Linked DNA regions of Solanum lycopersicum. The protein of the gene in region 1 interacts with the protein of each later gene in a pairwise test. Links are inferred from orthologs where the notes say so. Each region holds a gene or a part of one and is shown on either strand. Other genes may lie near its edges.

Region 1 (10,707 bases):
TAGGCAAAAAGAGACACCCTTTGATACACTAACCCCCCCCCCCCCAAGGCCACACCGGTTAAATAATTTGTTTGATCGAGTTTTTAAAAAGTCGTAATATAATTATTGCTTTAAAGGTTAAAATGAGGAGGTTGTAAGTTATCTGTGCTACGAATTTTTTCGTTGGTTAATTCTCGAAATTGAAATAAAAAATTAGAAAAAATATGTTTGACTAACTATACTTTTAACTCGTGAATGCATGGTCACTTTTGTTAGAAAGTGTTTTTCCTTTTTAAAATGTGAAATTTTTAAATTAAATTTAAATTTTAACGGATTCTAATATAAAAAATAACGAGTTAAGTCAAAATCGAAAAATTAATAGTTCTTAAACCACACTAGTGCATTCATGATGTCACTTGTGCCATCGTTCTCGTAACTATTATATGTATAAAATTATACCCTCAATGGAATATACACTTATTAGTACAAAAATTAAAGGCATTGAGAATAGTAAGTAGAGTAGCATTATTCAGAATTTAAATAATATGAGTTCGCGTTAAATAAAATGAATTTTCATTTAACTATTTATCTACTCATCATATATAGATCGGATGTAAGTTTACACCTTTAAGCCATTTGAACATTATCTGATGATGTTTTATAAAAGAAAATATTTGAAGGTGGATCAAAAATAAATAAAAAAAGGCATTTTTATATTTAGACATGAATTTTATTTTTAAAAAATAAAATTTTGTGAGCGAAAATTATGATTTTACTTGAAATACACTTTAATTAAAACCAATTTTTCAAACTTCACTTTCTCTATTTCAAGTTGAAAAAAGGACCAGATTGTAAGCCAAACACCTTTTCGAATTCCTTTTTATAATTTTCCAAATATTATATAAGACAAAAACAATTATCTCTCACTAATATCACTTTATAAAAATACATTCCGAATTAAACAAAACTCAATAACTATAATCCAAATTCAAATTATGAAATTTTTAAATAAGACCAATCACAATACAAAAATTTTAAATTCCAAAAATTTTAAATCTACTACTATGCAAATTATTTGATATATTTATAAATAAAATTAATTTTTGTAATATAATTCAAACTAAAAATAATAAATATGAGACGAAAGAAATAGCAGGGGACGAAGAAGTTAAAGTTTCGTAAGAGGACCACTTTGGCTTTAAAAGACAAAAATTAAAGTTAGGAATAAAAAAGTAGTGAGGTCCACGCACGTGATTTAAGCGTGGGCACATACCCACTGGGTATGATTCTTAGCTAGCTAAAATGCTAACCCAAATATAACCAAATTCATCATGTGATTTTTTTCAACAAGTATTATTTTTGTCTTTTTTTAAAAAAAAAAAATATTTGGCCCCCACTTTCATAAACCATATTATATAACCAATAAACTTTCTAATTTTTTTTATGAAATATTTTTTTTTTCATTGATCCAATTTAAATATCTATGAAAATAGCTATCAAAATATATCAATCTAAGTATTTATGAAAAGAGCTATCAGAAAATATCTATAGAAAAATAATATTTTTTTAGTGAAGAGTTGCAATTGAAGAGAGTGCAATATTTGCAGATAGTTTATTCTGGCTCAAACATTCGATTAATCTTTAGTTTATAAAAAAGTTTGATGTATAAAGCTTTTTATATTCACATAAAGTTTTAAAACAAGAGTGTGTACCTCAAGAGAGTATAACATAGACAACTTACATTAATATAAGTAATAATATTTAATTTTACAACTCGAACATATGAACTATAGGCTATAGATATCACACAGAGACATTAATGTTACTGTTTTTTTAGGGCTCTCTTTTATTAGTCTTATGTTGGCCTTTTTAATCTTTTTTTGTTTTGATTTCTTTATGTTCTTTGTTTTATAAAAATATCTCTAGTGTCCACACATTGAAAATACTTGAAGAGCTAATTTTACCAATATTTAAGATTCTTTTTTGACATGTTTTTGAAAAAATATCTTGCAAGTTCTTTTTTTTTTTTTTAAATTTGTGTGTAATAATATTGATGTTCAAGTAGCTCTATCTCACGAGAAGCTTCTTATTTAACTTTTTATCATTGACATCTTACACACTTAACATATAAGTAGCACCACAAGTTGTGACAAACTTACTCACAAGTACAATATAAATCGAGCTTCAAGTTCTACGCATTATATTTATTTGTTTATAACACGTAAAAAAGTAATTATTAAGTTATGTTGTTCATATATAAGGACCTATTGAGTCATCAAGAATCATAAATACTATAGAATCTGTCCTAACGTAATCAACCGTCCAATGTTAAGCTACTTCTCTAGTTAGAGTTACCAAATTGCTCACTCAATTGTCCTTTTTTTTGTAAAAAATCAATGGAAAATTGAGAAAATATGAAGGAAAAAAAAGATGATGGTCCCAAAAATTATAGAGAAAAAAGATTGGTGGAAGGCTTTAATATAAGGGGGGGTGGGGTAGGGGTAGGGTAGGGGGTGGGGGTGTGTTTAATTAGAATTAGTTGGAAAAAAGGACCACCTCATATGATGACAATAGGGCCATAGTTTTTGGGAATATTTTTGCACTGCCACAATGTTAATGGCATCTAATTCCAACCAGTAGTAGGCTGACTCTTCTTACTCTTTTTCTGTCTTTTACATACCCCCCTGCACCCCACCCCCCTCAAAAATCTTGTTCTGAAAAGGTCTAGTTTTGGAATTTTTGATCAGATAGTAATAGCCCCACAAAAAAATGAAGGAAACAGACTAATGAAAAAAGAAAAGAAAAAAAAACACTATCTGAAAAAGCCTGGTTACAAACTATAGCTTAGCTTCAGTTCTAGGGATTTGTAATTTTTTCTTTTGGTACTCACACAAACCCCCCACCCCCCAAACACACACACACAATTAACCAATAATGACATAATGAGTTTTTGATGTTTCAAGATTATTATTATATTATAGAAGTATAATATATATAGTATATAGTACAGTAATCAAAAAAAATTTAAAAAATGGGATTTTGGAAAGTTGTAATATTATTATATCTCAGAATAGTCCTATATTACAACCTTCCAAAATCACCTTTTTTTTTTAATATCTTTGAGAAATAAAAAAAGCTAGCTTGGAATTTTATATAGATTATTTTATGTGAAAATGTTTGACTAAATTTTGAAGTTAAAAAAAGAAAAAGAAAAATATATTTGTTATAACTGATATGATTTTAAATATGAAATGATATTTGTGTATATGAAATATTCTCTTTGATCCTATCTATCTTTTAATTTTTCGAGATTTAAACTATGTGAATTTTGATCGATAGTTTTAAATATATATATTTATATTGATACGAGATGAATTGTAATTTATAGTGTTTTTCGTACTGTGTATCTAAATGTTACTTTTATAGTATTTATCAGTTGACCGAATCCAATTTTATAAGCTATAAAATTTGTCAATTTTACTCTTGAAATGAAAAATTGACACATACTTTGAGACAGAAAATGTATTATTAGAAGTAAACTGAAAAAATAAAAGTGTCAATTAAAGAATACTAGTATAACTTACCACAACAATAGTATAGCTAAATGAGGGTACAAGTAGAAATGTTGCTTCTGATAGACACTATTAGACTCGAGAAAAAAATATTTCACCAACGGTCGGAATACTAGAATAATGACTTAGATTATATATTGAAGACGGGGTGGGAACAAATTATTTTCATTAGACTCTACTAATAGGATTATATCGAATATGTTATTGTCGTTGATTGAATTCAATTTTAATTAATTTAAGGATTAATTATTGAAGAGGGAGAGGGGTATTTTTTTTAATTTGATTTGATTTTCTTCCTAGGAAGTCTATTTTGTACGTATTGATTATCTTGTTTTGCATGAGAGAGAGAAAGTAAGAGCAAAAAAGCATATATCAATGAAAAAACATGGTTTACAAGTCATCATCACACACCCCCTTAGGCCTCTCTCTCTCTCTCTCCTTAACCTCTGGAAAATCCATAATGTTTTCTCCTTCATCTGATTTTCATCATCCTCACTAATTTCTAAGGATGTTTTTTTTCATTGTACACCATGTTTCTTGTTTTGTTTGAGAAAAAAAACAACACAGAGAAAAAAAAAGGTTCATTTCTTGATCTTCCCTTTTCTTTTCTTGTTTTGATGTTTTATGTGCAAAAACAAGTTGGTAGTGAGTAAAAATTCAATCTTTTTGTTTAATAAAGGATGGTAACTAAAAAACCCTTTTAGTTTTTAGTTCATTTGATCTTCTTCTTTTTCTTTTTTTTTTTTTTTGCCTTTTGTTCTCTTATTTTGAAGTTTTAACTAATCTACAAGCATTTGGGTGTGTAAAAATTCAATCTTTTTGTTGGAGAAAAGATAACTTCTAATTCATTTGATCATTTTTTAAAACTTTTGTTTTCTTGTTTTGAAGGTTTTACTAGTCATCTATGTTGGTATATAAGCATTTGAGTGAGTAAAAATTCAATCTTTTTGTTGAAAAAAGGTTAACTTTGATAGTAACTAAAAACCCCTTTAAGTTTTTAGTTCATTTGATCTATTCTTTACCTTTTGTTTTCTTGTTTTGATGTTTTTAACTAGTGGAAATATTCAATCTTTTGGTTAAAAAAAGGTAAGTAAAAACCCCTTTTAGTTTTTAGTTCACTTGATGTTTTATTTTTTACCTTATGTTTTCTTGCTTTGAAGTTTTTAACTAGTCATCTATGTTGGTACAAACACTTGAGTAAGTAAAAATTCAATCTTTTTTGTTCAAAAAAGGTAAAAAAATTATTTCTAGTTCACTTGATCTTTGCCTTTTGATGTTCTTCACTCTACTTATGATGTTTTTTTACCATTTTTGGGTTGTTTTAATAAAAGATATGCAGATCTTGATGGGATTTTTGTTTGTTGCAGAATCATGAAAGTACTTAAAGAGTTATAAAGCTGAGATCTTTATATGTATATATAGCTAGATGGCTAGTCATCATCAAGAAAGTATTATTCGCGAAGAGATTAAACCAAGATCATCATCAATGGTTACTAGTACTGGTTATTGGTTTTCATCAGATACAAATAATCAAAATCCAACACCACATAACAATATTGTGAATCATCAGTTGCAAAACTTTGAAACAAATCCAGATTTGTACAATTTGAGTAGTAGTACTACTTCTAGTATGGATCAAATGATGATAGGGTTTCCACCAAACAACAATAATCCTCATCATGTGTTGTGGAAAGGTAATTTTCCTAACAAGATCAATGGTGTTGTTGTTGATGATGATGATGATGATCACGGTCCTTCGTCTTCTAAGAACATTAGTGAACAATTTTATCAACATGAAACTATGTTGGCAACAACAACAACTAGTCATCAAGATTCATGGCATCATGATAATAACAGGACATTACTTGTTGATGATCCATCTATGAGATGTGTTTTCCCTTGTGAAGGAAATGAAAGGCCAAGTCAAGGACTTTCATTATCTCTTTGTTCATCAAATCCATCAAGTATTGGTTTACAATCTTTTGAGCTTAGACATCAAGATTTGCAACAAGGACTAATACATGATGGATTTTTGGGTAAATCTACAAGTATACAACAAGGGTATTTTCATCATTATCATCAAGTTAGGGACTCCAAATATCTAGGTCCAGCTCAGGAGTTGCTCAGTGAGTTCTGTAGTCTTGGAATAAAGAAGAATAATGATCATTCTTCTTCAAAACTACTTCTAAAGCAACATGACACTACTGCTACTACTTCAAAAAAGCAACTTTTACAGTCTCTTGACCTTTTGGAACTTCAAAAAAGAAAAACAAAATTGCTTCAAATGCTTGAAGAGGTATATCATATATATATATATATTCTTTCAATCCTTTTTTCTTTTTAACATGAAATTGTTGAAAAAAAGTTCTTTTTTTAATTGTTCAAAATCTTGGTGAACTAATTTTGAGGCTGAATATGCCCTTTTCCATTAATTGCCCACATGGTGACAATTTCACTATTCCATTAATTCTCTATAACCCTTTTCTCCTTTTTTCATCACACTATCGGAAACAACCTCTCTGCCTCCCGAGGTAAAGGTCTATACAGTACTCTACTCTATCCTTTCCAGACCCTACTTTTTACGTATGTTGTTGTTGTTATTCATACTTCACTAGGCAAAAAAGATTCAATTTTTTTTGGATTATGTGTAGGTGGATAGAAGGTACAAGCATTATTGTGATCAAATGAAGGGTGTTGTATCATCATTTGAAGCAGTGGCTGGAAATGGAGCAGCAACAGTTTACTCAGCCTTAGCATCAAGAGCTATGTCAAGGCATTTTAGATGTTTAAGAGATGGTATTGTGGCACAAATTAAGGCCACAAAAATGGCTATGGGAGAAAAGGACAGTACTACTACTCTTATTCCTGGCTCAACAAGAGGTGAAACACCAAGACTCAGACTTCTTGATCAAACTTTAAGGCAACAAAAGGCTTTCCAACAAATGAATATGATGGAGACTCATCCTTGGAGACCGCAACGCGGTCTCCCGGAAAGATCAGTCTCCGTCCTCCGCGCGTGGCTCTTTGAACACTTTCTCCACCCGTAAGTCCGATCTCAAAATTTAAATTTGATGAATTCAACTTACCTTTTAAAACTTATGGTATGTCACTATATTGTTTTGGTTAAATATAAATTATGTATATTTTTTTTATATTATACATTTGAACTTGTCTAGTTCTCTTGCTAAGTATTGTATTTGTTTTATTACTTGAGTCGAGAGTTTATCATAATAGTATCTTACCTGATCATAAGGTTGTGGTAAAATTGTATACATACTATCCTTCCTAGACTCTGCTTGTGTATTACACTGAATATGTTATTATAAATATTGTGTATTATGTATTTGAACGTTATTATTTTAAGTGATAGATTATTATTAAAAAAAAATTATTTTTTTATTTTAAAAAAGAAGAAAATAATATAACCCCACTTGTAGTTGTAGTACCAAGGATCTTTCTATGGGCCATCAATCATTGTTCACAAAAATAGCTAAATATTTTGGGAGTTGCTCTCAATTTGTTGTTACAGTAACTCCTTTTCCTTTTTCCTTTGTCGGTTTTAACTATACTATATATCATAACTACTCTGACTATAGAATTTTTGTTGATTTTATTTTGTTACATAACATAGAAAGTACAACATATGTTATTATAAACTATAGTATAAGTACAATTTATATTTACTTTCTTTATGGAAAATATATTCTTGCAGGTACCCAAGTGATGTTGATAAACACATTTTAGCTCGCCAAACTGGTCTTTCAAGAAGCCAGGCATGTCCTTTTCTCCACCATAACATATTAATGATATAGGTGTAACATCGAGTTTACGTTATATGCACTGACAAAGTGATAATATAAAAAAGAATTACATTATCGACCAGTTAATTATCATTTTTATCATGCTACACACTTCTAGTTATCATCATTGATATAAATGTAGAGTTTAAGTTATATGCACTAACAGTGACAGAATTATTATGAGCATTTTGACATATTATAAAAGATTGTGTTCAGTTTGTACTTATAGTCATCTTTTAAGTGATCTGGTAATGTAGATTTTTATCGCCACTCATACTCTTTACTAGTACATATAGTATAATTGTTTATATTGTCAGTATATATAACTTTGATGTGATGCACGTAAGATTGAATGTATTTTTGTTGGGCAGGTGTCTAATTGGTTCATTAATGCAAGGGTAAGGCTATGGAAGCCAATGGTGGAAGAAATGTACTTAGAAGAAACAAAAGAAGAAGAAGAAGAAAATGTTGGATCTCAAGATGGATCAAAAGCCCTAATTGATGAGATGACAATTAATAACCATCAATCATCACACATTGATCAAAAGCCAAATCTTGTAAGAATTGAGTCTGAATGCATATCTTCCATCATAAATCATCACCCTCATGATAAAAATGATCAAAACTATGGAGTTATTAGAGGTGGAGATCAATCGTTTGGCGCGATTGAGCTAGATTTTTCAACAAATATTGCTTATGCTACTAATGGTAGTGATCATCACCATCATCATCATGGTGGTGGTGGTGGAAGTGGGGGTGTTTCTTTAACATTGGGATTACAACAACATGGTGGATCATCAATGGGGTTAACTACATTTTCATCACAACCCTCTCATCATAATCATAATCATCAAAGTTCACTTTTTTATCCAAGAGATGATCATGATCAAGTTCAATATTCATCACTTTTGGATAGTGAAAATCAGAATTTGCCATATAGGAACTTGATGGGAGCACAACTTCTTCATGATTTGGCTGGTTAAAAAAAAAAGTGATCATATTCTTCATTTTGGACCTTATTATATACTCTAATTTTATTATATATTGGTGATGAATCATATCATGATAGGTGGATGGATATTATAAGTAGTAATAGCTAGTAGTTGCAACAATATATGGGGTATATATAGATAATTAAATGAAGTGATTTTGAATCATACAATTATTGAAAATTCTACATTTTGGAATTTCATTTTAGGTATTTTGGGTGATGATGACATGAATTTTGTTTCTATAGTTGGTAATTCTTGTGATAGTTTTTGGTGATTTTGTTATGCATCCAAATAATTGCCATGTGATTGAAACAAATATTAGTATATTCATATTTTGCAATTTGAAAAAAAAAATACAATTAGTATTAATCTGAGTTGATATATACTTATCTATCGAAAACAATCTTTCTGTTATGTGTATGTTTTACCTTTTTTCAAATTCGACTCGTGAAATTATTTGTTGTTGTTGTTCCCTCTCTTGTGTTTGAGATACTTAAGTGATGGAATCACGTGTGGTTGTAATAACTCAAATGAGAAAAAAACAATTTTAATTTTGTTTTCTGGGATTGGTACAAGAAGAATTAAATTAAGCTGCAAAATTAGTTAGCCTCTCAATTATCAAGATTAAGACCATCCAACAGAAACTGGAAAAAAAAGGCATTATTAATTATTTCATAATTGCACGTATAGTCCATGAATAATATCAAAAAAAAAAAAATCATTTTTCCAATTATCATGAATTCTTTTACGTAAAAGTGCTTAGAAAATTAAAAATACTTTTATTCGTGTGACGCTAATGATAGAGGATAAATCTAAAAGAAGGACATGTTAGATTTGAGATTTTTGTAAGAAGTTGTGCATGTTACCTTAGACGAATGCTATCACGATAGAAAAAAATGAAGAGTTTTATAAAGTATGTCACATGATACATGAAGACGTATGTTATCGCGGTAATATTTAAAAGACAAATCATAAGCTTTAATTTGATGGCCCAAAACGAACAATACGTAACATGAACTTTGATCAATTGAAAGAGCTTAATCAATGTCTTTTCTCTTTATTGTTAGCTTAAGATTATAGTAATTTTTAGTTAATTTTCAATAATTTATAAGTATATATTGTTTTATGTTATAATATAGCTAGAGCTTATTGCTAAATGAAATATATATATAACTTGCTTATACTATAGGACATGCATGTGAGTTTGATCAATCAAAACTATATATCAACAAAATTCTATTTATCATTTCTTTCTTTTTGTTTTTTCGATAATCATAGTGTTTGAGTTAGCTTCGTGCATACCTCGACTAATTTCTAGATATTAGATTTATAACAAATAGAAAGAAATTACTTACTGTATTTTTGTTCAGGCTAAAAAATTTCCTTTTAATTAATTAGTTACATATATTCTATGGTATCTTATTTACTTCTTTTGTGAAATATTGTGTCCATAGCTGAATTAAATAAAATAGTAAATGGCTGGTAGTTGGAGTTTAGACTGCACATGTAAATATTCTATTTTCAGAAACATTATGTTCATTGCTTTCTTTCTGTTTCTATAGTTTGTTTTAGATACTTCCATTTTTAGGTATCTTTTTCTTTAAAATAAAAAACATACGGCCAGAAATATTTATCATGTTGCGCTTATTGAAAGTTAATTTGATTAACTTTTTTAAAGATAAATTAGATCACATTAATTTGATATTAGAAACAAAAAAAATTAGATATTCTAAAACTATATGAAAAGTACTATAAATTACAATTTTTTCATATTAATATGATGAAAAAATACATCTTAAAATGTTAGTCAAAGTTTTTATAGTTTGACTCTAAAAATAAAAACCATGACAAACAATACTGAACGAATGGAGTATTTTTTTGAAATATACATTGACTTGCATGAGGTAATTGTACTATAAAAACAAGAATTAGTGACAATTTTTTGATGACACTGTAGTTTATTTGGTAGTTTCTCCTTTTATTATTGTTATCGATATTTTTTATGATAGATAAATTAAAAATTACTTTGTTAAAATATTTCATAATCGTAATTAGCATGAAACACAAGTTAATTTGGTCTATTTTCAACAAGTAAATTTTTTCCATTTTCAACAATATGACACAAGACATTTACAAATTTGATGAAACCTTTTAGTTTATTTTACACTTAAAAAAGTGAAAAGAAAAAGTATAGGACAAAAAGAGTATAAAATTATAATAAAAGATATATAAACATGCAAGTTTGAATAAGAATCCTAAAGTGAAGTTTTCAAACAAATATTTCCAGCAATGAAATAACAATAATAAAACCTATTAACTTATTCAGAAACTGAAAATATATTCTGGTAAGTTAACTTAATTTTT
Region 2 (10,978 bases), on another chromosome or scaffold:
CCTATTACCTCCCTCGACTTATTTTGTTAATAATTTTCTATTCCTTTTCGGTCTACATGAAATTATTTTGTGGGCCCAATGCTAATTGATTTTTTTTCAAGATAGTGCCACGTAAGTCGAAAAGGGTTAAAAAATTACTTATAAAATAAGTTCAGGGGGTAATACGACTTTAGTATAGTATAAGTGTGTCTATGAGATTTCTTGCATAGGTTGAGGGGGTAATACCCGATAATTCAAAGTCCAAAATATGGTTGCTTTAGGGTGTGTTGGTATGAAGGAAAATGTTTTCCAAGCAAATGTTTTTCTAGAATACAAGTAGATATTTGACTTATTTTTTCATGTTTGTTTGGTGAGTAGAAAATATTTTAGGAAATTATTTTAGTGTTTGATTTTTGAATGAATTTCCGAAAACATTTTTCTCAAACACATTTCCATGGAAAACATGAAAAATGAAAAACATTTGTCTAATATAATAATTATTAATATCAAGGGTTTTGAAGTTCAAAATATTTTTGAAAAACAATTTTTTTTGGGGGGGGGGGGGGTTCGAGGATAGGGGTGAAAAAATGAAATTTTGAAGTTTAAAATATTTTTTAAAAAATAAACTCAAATTTTTTAATTTTTTTTTTTGGCGGGAGGGGGGGGGGAGCTGGTAGGGATGGGTGGATGGGTCGAGGTGTAGGGGTGAAAAAATATATTTTTTAAGTTGAAAATATTTTTAAATAACAAACTTAATTAATTTTTTTTTGGAATTTGGGAGGGTGGGGGGACGTGTCGAGGGTAGGGATTAAAAATGAAATTTTGAAGTTAAAAAATATTTTTTAAAAAATAAACTTATTTTCCTAGGCGTACGGGGAGCTGGTACGAGGGTGGGTTGGAGGCTGATAGGGTGGTTGGGGGGACTGGTGAGGGGTGGGTATGAGGGAGGTTGGAAGAGAATTTTAAAAAATATTTTTTCTTAAATTTTGAAGGAAAGTCACTTTCCTTAAATTTAAGGAAAATGATGATTTTAAAAATATGTAATCCAATCAAATATGAAAAAATTTAAAAATAAATATTTTGCTTCATACCAAACACTCTTACTGTTTTGTATTTGTAACTTATTATTATAATAATAGAAATAATTATAACTTTATTATTATAAAAATAAAATAAAGTAAGTTATTACACCAAGGTGAGATTAAATTATGATGGCCTAAAGTCAATTACCCCAAAAAAGGCTACATACCCTGCAATGATTTCACTCATCTATTAATTGATTTATCTAATAAAGTAATAGAATACATTGCATATTCCTCCTTTTATTCTTTTGGAAAGAAAGAAAAGACAAAAATATAATGAAAATAATGCGCGATACAAATTTAATGAAAATTAAAATTAATAAACAAGTAAAATTCAACCCCTTACCTCCCCAAATAGGCTTCATTTCAAATATGGGTCGGGCTTTTCTTAGTTTCATCATATTATTATTTGGTTGGGTCTTTAATTATTGTAAAACGAATTTGTTAGATGATTGTCATTAAGATTGTGTAATGAATCGGAACAAATTGGTATCGGATCGGAATAGAACGAATTGATCGATTTGTTGATCGGTATCGGGATGAACCGGATTGAAATTATTGGGATGGATATTTGGTTCCGTCCGGTCTCACTATTTACCGGGATGAAATCAGAATGGATCGCAATGGAATGGGATGAACTGGACCGGAATGACTAAGTTTTTTTTGTCTTTCTCGGTTTATACCAATTCAAATTGTATATAATTTCTCTTTTTCTCGTTTTATACAATTCGATTCAATTGTATATATATAGCGAATTATACATATATATATTTGTTATAGAGTGCAATTATACAAACTTTGCTATAGCATAAAAATATGAATTTTGTGTTTGCTATATGTAAAAGTTGTCCTTGTTATTTTACATAAATGTAAATTTAAATTTGTTTAGAGTATATTTTGATGTTTAATTATGTATTGAATTGTAAAAATAAGAAGAACAATATTATTTTTATTGGCAAAAAAAAATATTGTATGACTCAAATTTAAACAAATTCTTACGTACATTTATGTATGGTATATTAAGTTTTGACTTGCAAAATAACATTGGATATTTTGTTTTTCTGATTGGACTTACAAATTTTACATGCACTTCAAGAAAAAAAAGTACTGAATATATCCCCAATTTATTTAGCTTTGTAAAGTCTACAATTTTAGTCAGAAATATCCAATGAAGAAATCAGTAAATGCCGCGCAAAGTACAATACAACAAGTGAATTATGGCTTTTGGACGCTGGCTCGCAGGCAGTATTCTCGAAAAGATAAAACTAGCAAGTACAAACTATTTAATTCTATAATTAAAGATGATAATAGAAAGATCTATTACAAGCACTTTATATATTTGGTCTAATAAAAAGTTGATTGTGTCACAATACCTTGTACTACTACATGCACACAAGTAATATGCAAATTAATTAAACATCCTTGATACTAATAATGACAAATCTTAATTCAGAGGAGAGAGGGTGTCATATCCATTGGGAAATGGTTAGCAAGAACATTATCCATATAGTAATGTGGATGAGCAGCATCCATCACAACAAACTGCATATCTTCTGATGGTTTCCAATGCCTCTTTCTTTGATTGATAAACCAGTTGTTTATTTGCTTCTGGTCCAATCCCGTTGATTCAGCTAGTGCAAGCTTCTGAGATTCCTGTAAACCAAGAATCGCGCAATGTAACTTGACCGCGTAAAATAACTATGCATTGTCATTATTGTATATAAGATGGACACACATCACAACCTTGTCTGATAAGGCAAGCGAAAAACAATATATGGTCTTACAATGAAGTGATCATCCTAGTAGAGTAGAATTAATATGTAGATATTGAGCTAAGGACTGATTTATTTAACAATTTAGAAAAGCAATACTTTTACTTTTCTAATTTAAGTGATATTAGCTTTAATTCAGAATGAAGACCAAGCGAAAACTTCGTGCACCCGTAACATTATGTTTTAAAATTTAAGAGTGTCATTCTTTTTGTATGGATTACTAAGGGACATAAGGTGAAATTAACAGAGTGTATAGAGTCAAGAAGTGAAGTTATTAATAGGAATGAAGGAGGATCATACCGATGGATATGGCCATTTAATATGTCTAAGCCACCAATCCACCAATTGTTGCCTTGCTTCCTTAGGCAGCTTGCCTTTCTTCCTCTTCTTCATGAACTCCTGCTTAAGGCTTCCCAAGTAACCGCTGTACTTACGCAACAATTGACCTTTGAGCTCTCTATCCTCAGCCTGGGGGTCGATGAAACTGTTATTCACGTCAACCTCTTCATCAGATGATCCATTTCTATCCATTGCCTCGCCCAAAGCTACACCTTTAAGACTTAAATTAGCATAACCATTCTCCAAGAAAAAAAGGAACAACTATAGTTGAGAATATAACTTGGCTTATAATAACATTATAGTAAAAATCACTAGCTACTAGGATACGAGATAAGCTTTGAGTATGAGTACTCAGCTGGTTCTCTTGGGACGTGATCAAAAGTTTGGCACGTTAGATTAGCCAACACTACAGGCTAACATAAATCATTTTGCTCTTAGGCATTTGGAAACTTCTCAGTAGTTTCTTACACAAGAAGAGTAACAAAAATATGCTAGAGTTAATACAATCAAAAACAACAAAGCGATTCATAACTCACACTAAATCTAGGCAGAGAATAAGAAGCTTATAAATTTTATGAGAAACTTAACTACCCCTATATACTTGAGAACTATCAAGAGTCGTTTGGTTGGGAACAAATTAGTATTCTGGGATAATTTATCCCACCATGGGTCTAATCACTATGGTGAATATAGTGAGATAAGTTATCCCAAGCATGACAACCAAAAAACAAAATTCTAATACCATCACTATTTTATTATCCCACGCTAATTATTTGTATCCTTCTCACCAAACGACCCGTTACTATTTACTACTTATCAAAAAATACACATGAGAGTAACTATCCATGTTGCAATTAAGTCCAAAAAAAGCCAATTTCTTCAGTTGTCTCGTAATTGCAAGCAGTTAAGCCCTCGCTTCTTTTAGACTCCTCAAGATTCAGTTTTTTAAATCAGTGGGTCCTTCAGAAACCCAACAGCTACTCAACAAATTTCGTCTTCTTTATCCCATTAAAGACTCCATTGAGTACCTATAGATTATTAACTTCACAAGTTTGCTATGTTTTGTCTATTATGTGAATAAAAAAGTCCAAGCAAAGAAACTTCCAAAGAAATTTAGCTGATTAAGGAAACACTTGTCAATAAGCATATGAACAAATATACAATTAGATCAAACTAAGCAAGCCGTATTCACCAAGATGAATCCTTTGAATTCCGAAATACATTCGACTAGATATTTGCACCCTAAAAAAAGGAAATAAACTCAAAAGAGTAATTAAAAAAAAAAGATGTATTGATGAAAAAACACCAACTACATAATCCAATGACTTAAACAAAAGTATAACACATCAAGTAGGTTATATGATACAATCCAATAAAAGCTCCAAATCTAATCAAGAGTATTTTATGGGTCTCACTAAAAGGAAGGTGCATTTCTCAATTTTGTCTTGTATCTTTCTATTCTTTTAAAGTGTCTAAAAGAGGGACCTCATGGAATTATGTCGAAAGATTGTAACTATTTGTGCGATACAGCTAATCGTTCAGCCGATCAAGGACTTCTTCACAGACCATATATGAAACTTAAGTGCTTGCTAAGATGGATTGGAGCTTTCCAAGTTAAACAAATACAGATTGAAATCCAAATACATACAAACTATTGCCATTAGATGGAAGTTCCTTTTTCAGTGTTTATTTAGCTTATACGGTGTAACATTTAAGCATTCGTAGTTATGAACCATTTCCAAGACAACCAACTAATTCAGCACATCTTTCCAAATACCTAATAGATTTAAAATCATCAAAAACACTACTACTTAGCAACAATAATAGTTATAGAGAGTGATTCCAGTAATATAAAGATTACTTGACGTTAATTTGTGGGGTTACCAATCAACACAATTAACGAGAGAAACATGGAATGAATAACCTTTTCCAAAACTCAAAAGTCTTATATTTTAAACAATCAAAGCATGAAACATAAACTCAACTAACTTTGAGAAACATAACACCCACACATAAATTGAATTCAAATGAAAGCTTATGTTGAAAAAGACTTGATCAAAAGAAAGATAATGTAATAATCTGCTCCTTACAACAACAAACTGGTGTATCCAACGTGCAAAATCACCTAAGACTGGTTGGTATATAGCTATCTCCGCCACCCCCTCCCTTTCTACCTCAGTATACTTACAAAAGACCCTCAACACAAGAGAATCAAAAAATTTACTTCATAGAGTGTCAGAAGTAAAACCAAAGTAATATAATTTTGAAATTCATATTCACCATCATAATATATGCAGCTTCAATACAGAAAACTAGGGTTAATACATTATTATATCTTGAGCTAGTCATCAATTAATCTGTGATTGGCACATGATAGAACAAACAAAACCTGCACATGAATAGTAGGGGAAAAAAGCTGGAACAAGAAAGACATATTTCCCAGGGTCATTCCAAATAAAGAACAAGACAAGTTGAGTTTATTCAGCATACACAAGCATCCAGTTTGAAATGATTAACAAGGGACAAATATATCTTGCTGTTTACACTTACAACTAGCACCACACAAATATTATGAACATGTAGAACAAGAACCAAAATAAGATAATTATTCTTTTTCTTTAATATAAATTCCAGGTAGTATCCCTGGCAGATGTATTTCATTGAATATTGAGACAGAAACAAAACTATTTTAAAAAATCATTGTGAAATACAAGAAGGTAGAGTAAATTGATAAAAAATTGAAAATAAATGGTCTGCATATGGAATTGAGCTTATTTTATTAGTACATAATAATTAATTAATGACTGATATCATTGGAAACATGCACATGCAGAGGACATTAATTTATAAAAGAATAAACTCAAGTAAACAGTTAGGATCTGAAAAGAATAAATGTCACCATTTTAAGAAATGAAGAAAAAAAATTTGATATATATATATCTCACCAGATTCATGAGAAGAATTAGGTGCAAGAGTTAAAGCTTTGAACTGACACTCAATTCTTGAAAGAAAAACCATGGCTTCCTTGAAGGGTTTTGAGAGTTCTTGTTCATATTTTGTCAGCATCTCACAATAAGCCTCCATGAACTGATCTAGTGCAGGATCTTCTCCAATGATTCCACCACCACTACTACTACTGCTACGGCCCATTGTTGCTGACGTGGCACATATTTCCTCTAGCCTTGCCACCACTTCTGGCGGAGCTCCTATCTGCAGTTGTTAAAAAGAAGAAAAAAAAACTAGGTTTTTTCAGCTACTGTCCCTTTCACACACATGATTTTGTTTTCAGGGTTTTTTATTGAATTGTTGCAGAGAGTCACTTTCAAGGTAGAAAAAATCATCAAAATTTCAAGAAATACTAAAACCCATGTTAAAAAATATAATCTTTGAATTGTTGAAAAAAAAATGAATTTTTTTTTGTTGGTGTTAATTGGGGGGGGGGTGAATTTCACCTTTTGACAATTGAGATAAGCAGTCAAGAGACGATGGTAGTGAGGATGAGCCATAATCTTTGACTTGATGGAAGAAGAAGAAGAGTTGTTGTCTTCTTGAGGATTATTGTTGTTGTTGTCCATGAAAGGAAGAAAAAGGATGTTGTTGCTGCTTGTTTCTGCATTGTTATTGTTAGTTAAAGAAGGAGGAGGAGGAGGCATCATCATCATCATTGGAGGAGCACAAATTGTTACATTTCCATTTCCATTTCCATTACCATTTCCATTGTTGTTGTTGTTGTTCTCATGATCTCCATATCCCATCATCATTAAACAAGATGTACTAGTATTTCCACTAGAACCACCCTCCATTATTCTCTCACACACTTTCTTCTTCACTCTAAATTTTGTTCCTTTCTATTTGTTTTTGCCTATGAAAACCATCTCTCTCTCTCACACACACTGAGAAAAAAAAAAGAAATGGAAAAAAACCTCTGTTTAACAGTAAATCTCTCTTCTCTTTTTTACGAGGGTGTGTGTGTGTAAGTGATCTCCCGAGTTTTATGCTTACTGATATCAGGCTTTTTCACAGCAAATCCTTAATGGAATACATAGTTAGCAATACTACTAGTCAGAAAAAAAAGCAAACACACAATATTCCTTTTTTCTTTTTCTAAAAAATAATTAGTAAAAAACAGTGTATTGTTCACTTTTCTTTTCTTTTTTTTTTCTCTCTATAGTGTTGTAGCAAGAAGCAAAGACTATGAAAAACATGAACATGTTAAAGGGTTAGCTTGTATTTGGGTGCAAAATTTTTACCTTCCCAATGAAAACTCATACCCCTTTTTTCTTCACTGCCACTGAAACACTGTCATTATCTGCCAATATCCCTCCTCTCCTAGTGAGAGAGAGATATACAGTTTAATTTTTATTTTTAGATTAGAATGATCAAATCGAGGTGCAGTGTAATTTCTTCTGTGTTTTTATGTGTTTCTTGGTTTTTGGGTTATTGGAAAACAGACAAGAGTGAGAGTTCCTTACCAATATTATAACTTGAGACCTATTTGTCCCTTAATTGAATATGATTCTTTTTGCTTTGCTTCTTCTTTCAACCACTAAATTAAACTTTATATCATTATTTTATATTAAAAATTAGATTAGCGTACACATTATATTATACTAGTAGTAAATTAACAAAAATACTACTTTTCAAGAATAAAACGTGAAGAAAACTTATCTTTTTTAGAGGGAGAGGGGAAAAAAATAGACGCACAACAAAGGTGTGAATTGTGATGTGAGTGGATATAGCAGTAGAAAATCTTGAGATTCACATCTTTAAGAGACTAAGCTCTATGGTAGGTCTGACCAAAATCGATCGGTAAGTAAATAGTTAAAAGATCAAATATATTAATATTTTGAGCAATTAGAAAGATTAAATCCTATAAATGAATAGTTAAGAAACTATTTAAACCCTACTCGAATAGTTAAGAAACCGTCAATGACATTTTCTCTAGATTTTGGAGGAAGAATTTTTAAAGAAATTACAAATTGTTTTTTGTTCATAAACTTTAATCAATTTTTGACAATTTACATAAATTTGGATGAAATTTCATTTCACTTATCCTATGTATTGTTTTAAATCCTACAAAAATATTTCACACACCATTCAAACTTCAAAAACTGATATTTTCAAATTTCCATCTTAATTTTATAAGCACTTTCAAAATAAATTACTTAGATTGCTAATCACCTAAAAAACATTAAAATCAGACAAAATCATAAGTTGGTCATGTTTAATGTATAAATTTTCATTTATAAATATTTTAAATTTGATAAAATATATTTTAATCAATTTGGAATAGATTAATTTCTTGACTTTTTATTTGCATCTTCGAGAAACTTTTATCCCAATTTTTTTTTTCTAATTTTCAAAATACTCTTTCCAAATTGTGATGCTAAATCTCTTCCATTCCATATATCTTCTGTCGTAATCTTTTGTGTATATGTTTTTTAGTATTTATAATTTTTTAAGTAATAATTTTAAGGATATTTTAATTATTTTAAGGGAAAATTTAATAGTTTTCTTTTTTTTAAAAAAAAAGTTCAGGTTAAAATTCTTGAATAAATGAAAAGGAAAAAAAAATCTAACGAGTTGTTTAGAATAAAAATATTTGAAGAAAGATTTACCCTATTGGGATAGGGAACTATTTATAACTTTATTGTCTTTTTCTTGTTCTAGTTATACATGAAAAATGAAATAAGAAATGATATTTGATGTATTTCATACTCCGATAGACAAATATATAATTTAGTTTCCTATTATTGACAAACAACACACTTCATTCACAGATATTCTGTTCATTTTATTTATATATATTTTTGGTGCCTTCAGTGCCATTATTATCTTATGGCATTTTCTTGGTTTGTGTAGATTACTATAACCCCCACCTATTTCCATTTCAATGAAAAAAATGTAACTTGGACACTTTGCCTCGCATTGTTTTTACTCACTTTAATGGAAAATGCTACGTACCCCACCCCAAAAGAATCTTCAACCCAATCTACATAACTAGTATTTAGTTTTTGAGGTCTTTAATTGAGGTTAAATAGAAAAATAATTATTTGTATCGAATATTTTCGTCTAATTATCACAATTTTCATTTGTAACTTCATGAAGTAAAATGAAAAATAAATTTTAACACATGACATGACATGCATATATTGAATTGATGTATAAACATCTTATGCGGATAAGTTTTATCCACACTAAATAGCTAGAACTTTTTGTCAGAATCTGATTTAGAAATTTAAAAAGTTATAAATATTTTTTATTTTAAAATTAACTAACTTTTTTCTATTTTTTATTAAAAATTATTAAAGTCAATGAACGAAAATATTTAAGAAGATAAATAACATACTTAAGATATTATTCGGGACAAATTTTCTAGGGAAGAGAATTTTTCCTTTAATTTAATACCCTATTCTGTACATTCAAAATTATTGGTAGTAAATAATAAATTTTATTGAGATATTCAAATTACAATTTATTCAAGGAGTATTTAAATACTTGATAAACTCTTTATACTAAATATATTTAATTTTCAACGAATTTTTAAGTGTTCATTACATATACAAATTAATCATTTTAAGTATGTCTTCTCATTTAGGACTCATTTGGCTATAGATTTCTCAAATAATATTTTGGGAAAAATTTGATAAATAATTTTATTTACAATTTGTCATTATTTAACAAATATTTCAAATTCTTAAATACTATTTTTTTCTAGTATTTGGACCAAATCTCATTATTTTGGGATCTTCTTAAAATTAAAATTTTACTCCAAACTTTTATCTTTAACAAAAACACCCTTTTATAGTAGTTGTTTGTGTTGTATTAAATAATTTTTTACGTAAACACCAAAGTAGTGATGCAATATTCAGTGAACATTAAATGATTATATGGTTGTTGATGAAAAATTGTTTCATGACTTATGGAATGATGTTTGTTGCATTCCCTCCAAACTATCACATTGCTCTAGTGTCATGGGCATTATTTGTTATTGTTGCAACGAATATCCAATTGACTTGTAATACAAACTTATAGTTAGTTTTGATAATTTTTAAAACTTATGGGTATAAAACATATTTTTCTAAAAATGTGAAATATATTTCCCAGATATTATGGTCAAACGCTAGCTTACTAATCTGTAAAATCTCATGCTTATACTTTGATTAATGCGCGTTTATAAAGACACCTAAATTTTAATTAAAATATGAGTTGAATATAACTATATATATATATATATATATATATATATAATTTTTAAAAATGGAAACTTTCGCATATAGCTACTGAAAAATAGTTTAATTATGCTCCACAACTATAAATTAATTAATTACAATTTCAGTTACATGTTATAGGAAGAAGAGTGGCTAGCGAGACTAAGGAGAGAGGCAAGCGAGATTGGGAGAAGGAGGAGAAAGACAAGCGTGAGAGAACAATAATTTGTATAATTCGCATCTGGTTTTTGTAATTTGCAGGTATGTTTGGATATATTGTATGTTTTTGTATAATTGAGTAATATAAAATCTGTAGTTATACAAATATAATAAAACTTGAAATAATGATTTGATACAAACAAAACACATATGAACTTTATACAATTATACAAAATATACTATACAAATGACATTATGTAGATCATATTATACAAAATTTGAAAACTACGTTTATAGAAATTTTAAAAAGTTATACACAAAAAGATTCAATGTATATGATGACAAAACTAAAAAATCAAATGAAATTATCGTCATATACAAATACAAATCATAACATACAAATACAAATCAAACAAAAAATTATTAATATCAAATT
Region 3 (9,342 bases), on another chromosome or scaffold:
ATATCCATTTTTCCTATAATATTTCTTAAATTATTAAAAAAAAAGTAGAAACTTGCGTGTTGTACTTTTTGTTTTCTGAAATTTTGTTTAGTCTGTCTGCAGTACTACTGCTGGAAATTCACTGTTCAATGCGTCATCTGGTTTTGCTTTTTCTCACTTCCCATACGTGTTATTTTCTCAGTTTTATTGTGTAACTGCCAAAATACATATATTCGAATATATAAATTTAAATTTTCAAAACATACCAAACAATCAAATTTCGGTCATAATTCTATTTTATTTTTTTATTTACTTCATTCAGTCAAAAGAAGTTTCAAATATAACTTGAAAATTTATTTATATGTCCACCCTACTTTCAATTGGTTCTCTGCATGAAATATTACGTAATGTTCTTTCTATTCCTGTTTCTTATTTATTTATGTAGAGCCCACCACGTTGGTTGTTTAAAAAAAATGTAAGCTTTTGGTGATAACACGAAAATTATTTCATTTTTGTAAAGTTTCCTAATTTTCTATATAATCTATGACTTGGTCTAGTATTGCTGCGAGCTTTAATTTTTACTTGAAATGGAGATTTTTTTATTATTTTTGACCAATTCAACATACAATGATTGTCACAATTTTGTAGCATTAATTTAGAAAAGTTAAATAATTTTAAATATGGAACAGTAAAATGTTTGACTAAACTATGATGACAAGCCGCCCCATTAATTATACCTTATAATATTATACACCTAAACTGTCATTGTCATTAACTTTAATTATCACACTAAAACAGTTAGTATAATCATTTAATTATTGCCATTTATCAGCTGCATGCATGCTACCGGCAATATTTTCTTGGTATTAAAAGATTTCTGCTTTTTTTTGGATATTTTATTGACAAACATTACAGGTTTTTTTTATATTATAATGTTTGTGCTTATTCATTACTCCATTTGGTTAAAGAACTTATCCATCCTTTTAGGTAAATTAGTATAAATTTTATTTTTATACATGGATAATTTGTCGAAGTGAACTTCAAAAGACTGGACCCACCAATACCAACAGATACTTTAAAAAAAATTAAATATTGTTAAAATAAATCAAGCTTTAATAAGACAATTCACTACACTATTTTTATATGTCTGTCTTAAGCTTTTCTTTATTTTCATATTATATAATAGCCCCACGTACACCCCATTTCATAAAGCCAAAAAAAAGACCTCATCCATTAATAACCCCAATTTCTGGGGATTAATTTGTTGGTCCCCCCTCCCCTCGAAAACAAAAAATCAGATTCCTCTATACTATAATCTATTTTATGACTTATTTTATAACCTTACTATTTTTTCCTGGTACGTTCTCTCAATATAATGGACCCCTTAGCAAGAAATACGAGACAAATATATATTAAATGGTGTACATACTATTTAGTTATATTTTGTTATAAATAAGTTAGTATTCTTTCTTCGCAGTTTCATTCTGTCGTACAGTGAAATTTATTATTAATTGAAGTCGATTAGAATAATTGTAAGTTTTAATTTTTCCATTACAAAATCAACATGGACGTTGGATACAAAACGAAGTTTTGAGTTTCAACTTCTTAGTTCTAATATGTTAAGAAATAATGGCAAAGCCGAAATTTATATTAAGAAGGTTAAAATATTAAAAAATTAAACACTTTAAAAAGTTTGAATGGATCCCCTTACTTTCATATGGCTCTGCGAATAAAAGAATTCATCAATCTTCTAAGACTAAAGCGTTGAATTTTTACAAAAATGTAAAGTGGTATCGAAGAATTAGTTGCTGGTGTCCATTGAATTGAACTTATTATCAAATAAATTCATAAATTTAGTTTATTTCTTAAAAAATTCAAAAGTGGCACCGAAAGTTTTTTTTTTTTTTGGGCCAAAAATAAAGTTCGAGCTCTAATAGTAGTTACACTGATTTTCACCAAAATATACTTAAAAGTTTGCCTTTTGTTGATTGGATTTTGTACCCCATCCACTTTTTATCCATTAAAACCAATTTCTGTCAATCATCCACCATATTAAAATCTATTTAGCACTTCATGTCTTGGATAATTAATAAACTAATTAAGTTAATCTCTTACCAAAACGTACTCATCACAATCAAAATGGATCCCATTCGAAAGTAAATGTAATTAGATGAATAAAATTATAACTTATACATTAATGGGAAGTAGAGAAAAAATCTAAGCATGTATGCTTATCAGCCTGCTATAGTTAATATTGAAAGTAGATTTAGGTCAAAAATAATTATTTTTGCTGAGTAAATTTGTACTATTTAGGGACAATCCTTTGATACTATGTAAGATTTTTCAACCTAAGTTAGTTATTATTATAATAATAATAATAATAAGTCACTTTCTGCGTTTACCCTTTTTCTATACATAACTGGCCTAATTAATTGTAATGCTCTTTCATGCGCCACCTGAAAAGGTGAAATTAAATATCATGTCTCAAAAATCTACCACATCTCAATTGAACAACAAACAAATAAAGTTAATTTAATATGTCAAACATGTACGTATATTTTCACACGTGCAATCATATCGCACAGGTGCGAATCTAGAATGGATCGTGAATGTTAGTAAATAATTTACAAAATTTAATAATTTATGAAAATTCATCTCGATTTATATTCACACAAAAAAAATTTGAATAATATATATATAGGAACACAATTGTTGCGCAAATGTACGTTTTGGACGTATACATTAATTTACTGTATAAAATGTTTTTTTTAAAAAAAAATTAGACTAAAAAGTACAGACAAAGTACTTCAGTTTTATGATGAGCGTGGTACAAAAATATGGAGAATTTGGATTAATATTTAAATAAAAAGGGTATTTACATAATGATGTGCTTCCTCCTAATAATAACATTAATATATTTTCTTCTTTTTTTTCTACTTTTCTTCATAGAAATTACCTTTCTCCCAAAAGCTTGAAAATAGAGAGAATGACAAAAATGAAAAAAAAAAAACAAAAAACGTAATTTTACTAAGTCATTAATTATCCGCCGCCGCCTCCTCACATCCACAACGGCGGCGGTTCGTTCAAGTCAATAGGCAACCCACGTCTCACAATCCCAAAATACATAGCTGCAGCTCCAACATCGTTTTCCTTCGCCGGCGCAGCGACGGTGACCGGCAAGTTAAGTTCCGGCGGCGGACCTACTTGTAGAAACTCTCCAATCATGAGCCTACGTCCGGAGGGGGAAGTCCACCGGTGATCAGATGGAAGGTTGAGATCGAGTGTAAGAGGAGCGGAAGAAGGCTGCGGCGGCGGCGGCGGAGGAGGGGGGAAGTTTGTTTTTGCTTTAGCGCCGCGGAGTGAACGGGCGGCGCCGTCGTAAGCGAGTGCCGCTTCTTCTGGAGTGTCGAAAGTGCCTAACCAGACACGTGTTTTCTTCCACGGGTCGCGAATCTCTGCGGCGTAACGGCCCCAGGGACGCTTTCTCACTCCTCTGTAGTGACCCTCACGAGTGGAAGCCATGGAAATGGGGGAGGAGAGAGAGAGGGGGGGATTTAGAGAGAGAAAGTGTATGAGTGTTGTGTTTGTGTGGGGTTTTGGGAGCTAAAAAAGAGTATATTTGGGCAGCAGTAGTAAAAATAAAAAAGGGACCCACGCAGACACCCGTAATCGTCGGTTGGACGGCACGACCTCTCTCCTAAAATAGGCAAAATATTTAGGTGAACATGTGTTTGGTCGGAAGGAAAATGTTCCGAAATTATAAACAGGCTCTTAAAAAATGAACGAATACTTTTATCATTTCATGGTACTGTATTTTAATACTTATTTTTGGAGAATCGGTTAGTAAGTTACATAAAAATAATGTTAAATAAAATATAGTAATAATGTCTATATTAATTATATATAAAGAGAGATTTTTTTCTTATGCGTTTGATTTGATCTATTAAAAATAACATGTATAATACAAAAAATATTTATTTATAAAAATATTCTGCACTATTATACTAAAAAGCTATAAAAAGAATTTTGAAGGATAGTAGGGTCTTTACTCATACTAATACATATGTTAAATCATTAGCATTAATTGTTGTAGTAAGTTACAAATTTAGGGGCGAATAAAAATTAATTTTACTTAGCAAAACTTAAATAAATAAGAAAAATCATATATAGTAGGGGTATTATTTCGAAAGAGAAAAAAACTAGGTAGCATGGTATACGCCATTGTTTTGACATATCAAACTAAAAATAGGTGAAGTAATAGTTAAACATATGCGATTTCAATAAATTATTTTGCAAATAAACAATTATATATCTTATATTTTACAAATTCTATAGTCATGCTATAGATGGAATGATAAATATAGACTTTTGGTAATGGTAAGTCGGTCCTAAAAAGAGAAAATTTTCTTTCTCTCTTGTTTCTAAATTGCTTCCATGAGAAGCTACAAACTTCGATGAAGTAGTAGTATTTCTTTGATAAGATATACACTCCTGATTTTTCACAAAGGCAGGTGACAACTTTTAAGGAAAATTTACAAAGATATTGTATTTAAGACTATGATTTATAATATAAAATCATATTACATAAACATAATTATTTAATTTGATTTTAGTAAATACTTATGTCCTTCAACGTTGAATATGCACAAATAGATATTTAAATTTGTATAAAATAAAATAAGTAGATACAAATGTTTACATGGCACAATACATCTAGAACGTCATGTAGGACAATAAATTGCCATGTAAAGTATTATGTAGAACAAATGTGTTCATTTGCTTAATTTTATATAAATTTAAGTGTTTACTTGTGCACACCCAAAATTAAATGTCATAGTTTTCAACCGAGTCAAGTTAAGATTCATGTTTATGTATTATGTCTATATAAAATATAACTTTTCTTATTTACAAAATAAATCTTTTAATTAAAAATATGATAATTTAAATTAATAAATATTTTTTAATTTTATTTTTGGTTTTTAAGTCACTAGTGAAGTCGTTTGAAGAATTTGCAAGTTTGTTCTAATTATGGTGGATTCAATTAATCTTTCATTTCCACCCACGTTTCTAAAAAATCTCTTTCTTAGTATTGATAAAGATTAAGAAATAGCCTAAAGTCAAAATACAACAGGGGATAATATTTTTTAAAATCCAACTTTTAGCCTATAGTTTAATTCCACTGATGATAAATTGACGAACGTATAATTTACTTGCATCAAAATCACGTGGGTTGATTCGATTCTAGAAAAAATTATGTCTACAATTGAAGTTACTATTGAAACTAACATATTTTGAAGACAGAAACTATTTTAGCGGAGCAGCTGCACTTTATTTTTAAAAAATTAAAACATATTAATTGATACTTATTATAGTGTTTGACTAGGTATATTATTTGTTACATTTTACTAATTAAATTGCGTATTTTAAATCTTTTCATTTTTTTATATTAATAATTTTATCATTATTATTAATAATAATAATAATAATAGGCCAAATTGTTGGGTTTTCCCCCCTCAAATACCTCAATCACGTCATTTTCTTATTGAATCATTGAACCCATAATTTGTTCCGTTTAAACAAACACCGTTGTCTGATGTGGAACCAGATTTTTGAAGGATATTGATAGAGGGTACATATGTTGTTCCACGAATCATTAGTCTAATTGATGGTGAAAATATTTGAGAATAATTGTGTTTTACTTAAAAGTTATTTGAACACATTAGAAAACAGATGAGACTAGCATGATTTGTCTTCATTCCTTCAATCAAAATTATTACAATTCAAACACAATTAAAGACATTTACAATAGAAAAACTGATCAAAATTAATCAATATTGTTTTAAGAAAACAAATTATTAGTGTTTCAATAATTTAATTTAAAAATAGCGTAATTAAAATACATGAGAAAAAAATCCAAATAAATTTAAAAATAACAATATATTTTTAACCAATATTGTTTTAAAAAAACATAACAATATATTGAGTGAATTTAAAGTACACATAGATCGTATACCTGTACTTAGATACCTCGAAACTTATTTATTCACACGGTATAGTTAGTGGATATATCCAAAGTATGTGAAGCTGAAAGTGGGACAATTAAATCCACCAATTTGTCAAATTGTGGAGATACCTTTTTTTTTTTATATATATATATATATATTATGCTGATATATCGAAATAGCTTATAGTAGTACAATAATATATATTATTATATTATAATTATATAATAAAAAAACCCAGAATACATGAGTTTTATGTTATTTGTCGTATAAGTAGGTGGAGTGCATATATAAAATAAGATTAAAAAATAGAGAGGAAGAGAGGCGCCGGCTGATGGGACGTGTCAATCACATGAGTAGGGCGTGTTATTCTACTCTCGACTTATGTGCTAAATGCAGATTTTTATTTTTCGATTACAATTAAGCGAGAAACAATTTCATCATCGATGATATTACAATTGTATCTTTTGATAATAATAACAAAATTTAATATCATTTTTTGTTACTATTAAAATAATGTGATTATCTTTGAATGATTTGGGAACTTTATTAATTTGAAGTAATAATAATATTGTAACACGTGGATATTCTTACTTATCCTTTTTCCCATTTAGGGTCCTATTCTCTGTCTCTCTATGGTGGAGTCTTACATCAGCCCTATAGAGTCCCTACACCCTATTTAACCCTTCACTGTACGGCGCCTGTTCAGCGGCGCCTCCATCTTTTTTTTTTATATTTTTTCTTTCTTTAGATTTAATATTTTCAATTGTTTATTTATTGCATCATTTTCAATAGGCTGACACACATATATATATTTTTATACACTGGAATATCCCTTGTCGTTATATGTGTATAATAATGAAGGCCCCCCTACCCTACCCACCCCTCTACTAACAATTTAGTACAAATCAGCCATCGAAGTAGATGTGATTATTTTTCTTTTAGTTAAAAAATTGTGTGTTAGAAATATTTTTTTAAAGCTTTATCTGATACGAATTTAAATAGATAAATTTTTCTTACATATGCTAATTAGCAAGTGCGAACTAAAAATAAAATGAAATTTAATTTAATGTGATAATAAATTTATTGTTGCGTAAAACTTGTCTAGTAAGATACTTGTATTATTCGCTAGCTATGGTAGGGAGATCAGATTTTATATTTGGTGCATCGCCGAAAAGATTACAATTGCGATTTTTCGAGGGTTCCAGAATTATTATTATTATTATATTATTTGTGCGTATAAAGCTACTGATATGTTCTGTTGAAAAAATAAAAACTATACTGCATATTGTATTGTTATCTGAAAAGGCTATTAATGGTTCACAGACTCACCTCCCATGACACGGCATTAACACAAATAATTAACTATACTGTTCCCTCTGTCCTAATTATATGAGTTAATAGAAAAAAGAATTTTTTAAAAATAAGTAATATATATTTATACGACTTTAAATAATATTAATGAGAATTTTATAATTAAGACTACTAATTAACTAGTTTTTTTATTATTGACGAAATAAAAGGAACTAGGGAGTACTTATTAAAACTGAATTCCGTCTTAAAAAAATACTCCCTTGTTTCATTTTATCTATAATTTATTTTTAAAATATATTTTTATTTTTACTTGTAATTTTTGAAAAATTAAAAAAATAATTAAAGTTTTTCTATATTCTATCCTTAGCATTAGTTAATAAAACAATATTATATAAAAATACATATTTTTAATGGTTGGTCAAATCAAAATAGTAAGTAAAAAATGAAGCAAGTACTAAAAAGGGGTCATTGATGGCAACATTTCAAAGTGTAGTCGTTTGAGCATTTCCTAAAATATGTTTTGTTCCGGTCACTGCTCACAACAACACATTCTTTCCGATTTAATTGATTTTTTATTTTTTAAAATATCTTTTTGTCATTAATAATTTTTAATTTTTTTCTTTTTTCATATAGGATATCTAAAATTATTTTGTTAAATGTATATGAAATTAATATGAGGAAGTAGAGGAATAATATATTTGTGGTGTCAAGAAAAGAGTGGATGGATAAAGAATAAAAGAAGGCGTTTGGTTAAATGAGTGAAATAAAAGAGTAGGTGGTGTCTGAATTGGGGAGACAGAAGAGTAGATGCTGGATTTTATGGGCCAAATGTGGGTTTCTCTTTGTCAATATATTGACTCGATTTTTGGGTCAGCACTCAGAACTCAGACAGACATAACAACTCACAATACACCGCACAGAGATTATGATTTTCTGAATGCTGACCTCACTGTATATAACTCTTCATTTGAGTGTTGCTTTGGTTTTCCTGCCTCACTACAATTACGAGATGATAATGGACCGAAGTGGACTGCAAGGTGGGTTTAAGGTTAATGGAGCGTATTTAAGGTTGTGTGGGCGGATCGAATATAAAGCCGTTTTTCTAAAATTAATGTGGAGTGGAATAAATTATGAATATATGTTATTTTAGGTGGTTTAAAACTTTTTATATTTTATCAAAATGATAGAGCATTATTTATTAAAATAATTTTATTAAAGCTACTAAAGTATTCAACATAATAAATGAAAATTGTACCTCTAAAAACTGAAATTATAAGTCAATATTTTATTAAATTAATACAATTTAATAAAAAATAAATTTATTTTCATGAATTTTATTTATAATATCAAATATAATTTTAAAAAATATTAATAAATTATATGGAGCAGATCCATACCAGGAGGGTAGAATGAAAATAAAAAGAATTATTATACGAAGAAAACTAAATTTTAAAATTTAACGAATTATACTCAACCCCATAAAGGGCCCCATTACCATCCCTTACCTACAATTACCATTTATCCCCCACAGCACCACTCACGCAAGGCCGGTGACTCTTTTTGACCGATAATATTATTATTATTATTATTAGCATCTAGTAACAGGTGAGATGTAACAATATATTTTTTAATTTTTGAGAAAATACACTAGTATTCTCTTTTACTATGATTAAAATTTTAGAGACATATTTTAACTAAATTAAAGTTCTATTACTCATTTAATTTATCTTTTTGATAATTTTATGTTCCTTTTAATTTACGTGACATCCAAATATTTTTCACACGCTCCAATTGCATAGAGTTGTGAAATGTGTCACGTAAGACAAAAGATGCACAAAATTACAAAAGAAATTAATTCAGGGGTAATAAGATCTTAGTTTAGTTAATGTATGTCTTTGAAATTTCGGTCATACTCTAAGGGGATACTTGCACATTTTTCCTTAATTTCATGGCCGGAACATAAGTGAAAATTTATCGTAAATGAAAAAGTTGTACTCCCTTGATTATCCTATTATGACTTGATGCAAAGTTTAATAAAGTAACTGAA

Evidence for each region.
Region 2: the proteins of BL3 (region 1) and T6 interact in binary tests that used the Arabidopsis thaliana proteins (3 or more experiments, as listed by UniProt). The link is inferred for Solanum lycopersicum from reciprocal best matches to the Arabidopsis thaliana genes BEL1 and STM.
Region 3: the proteins of BL3 (region 1) and ethylene-responsive transcription factor 12 interact in binary tests that used the Arabidopsis thaliana proteins (3 or more experiments, as listed by UniProt). The link is inferred for Solanum lycopersicum from reciprocal best matches to the Arabidopsis thaliana genes BEL1 and ERF12.

Annotation. Positions count from the first base shown.
Region 1 is NC_090807.1:66,653,699-66,664,405, forward strand, and holds BL3 (bell-like homeodomain protein 3), read left to right. Parts: upstream 1-5,037; coding exon 5,038-5,847; intron 5,848-6,202; coding exon 6,203-6,594; intron 6,595-7,263; coding exon 7,264-7,324; intron 7,325-7,722; coding exon 7,723-8,334; downstream 8,335-10,707. UniProt on the Arabidopsis thaliana protein: Plays a major role in ovule patterning and in determination of integument identity via its interaction with MADS-box factors. Formation of complex with AG-SEP dimers negatively regulates the carpel identity process and favors the maintenance of ovule identity.
Region 2 is NC_090801.1:61,368,482-61,379,459, reverse strand, and holds T6 (homeobox protein knotted-1-like LET6), read right to left. Parts: upstream 7,275-10,978; 5' UTR 6,976-7,274; coding exon 6,625-6,975; intron 6,383-6,624; coding exon 6,118-6,382; intron 3,385-6,117; coding exon of another isoform or gene 3,379-3,384; coding exon 3,134-3,378; intron 2,715-3,133; coding exon 2,511-2,714; 3' UTR 2,328-2,510; downstream 1-2,327. UniProt on the Arabidopsis thaliana protein: Required for shoot apical meristem (SAM) formation during embryogenesis. Negatively regulates ASYMMETRIC LEAVES1 (AS1) and ASYMMETRIC LEAVES2 (AS2 or LBD6). Probably binds to the DNA sequence 5'-TGAC-3'. Binds to RNA.
Region 3 is NC_090801.1:58,881,433-58,890,774, forward strand, and holds ethylene-responsive transcription factor 12, read right to left. Parts: upstream 3,752-9,342; 5' UTR 3,502-3,751; coding exon 3,037-3,501; 3' UTR 2,808-3,036; downstream 1-2,807.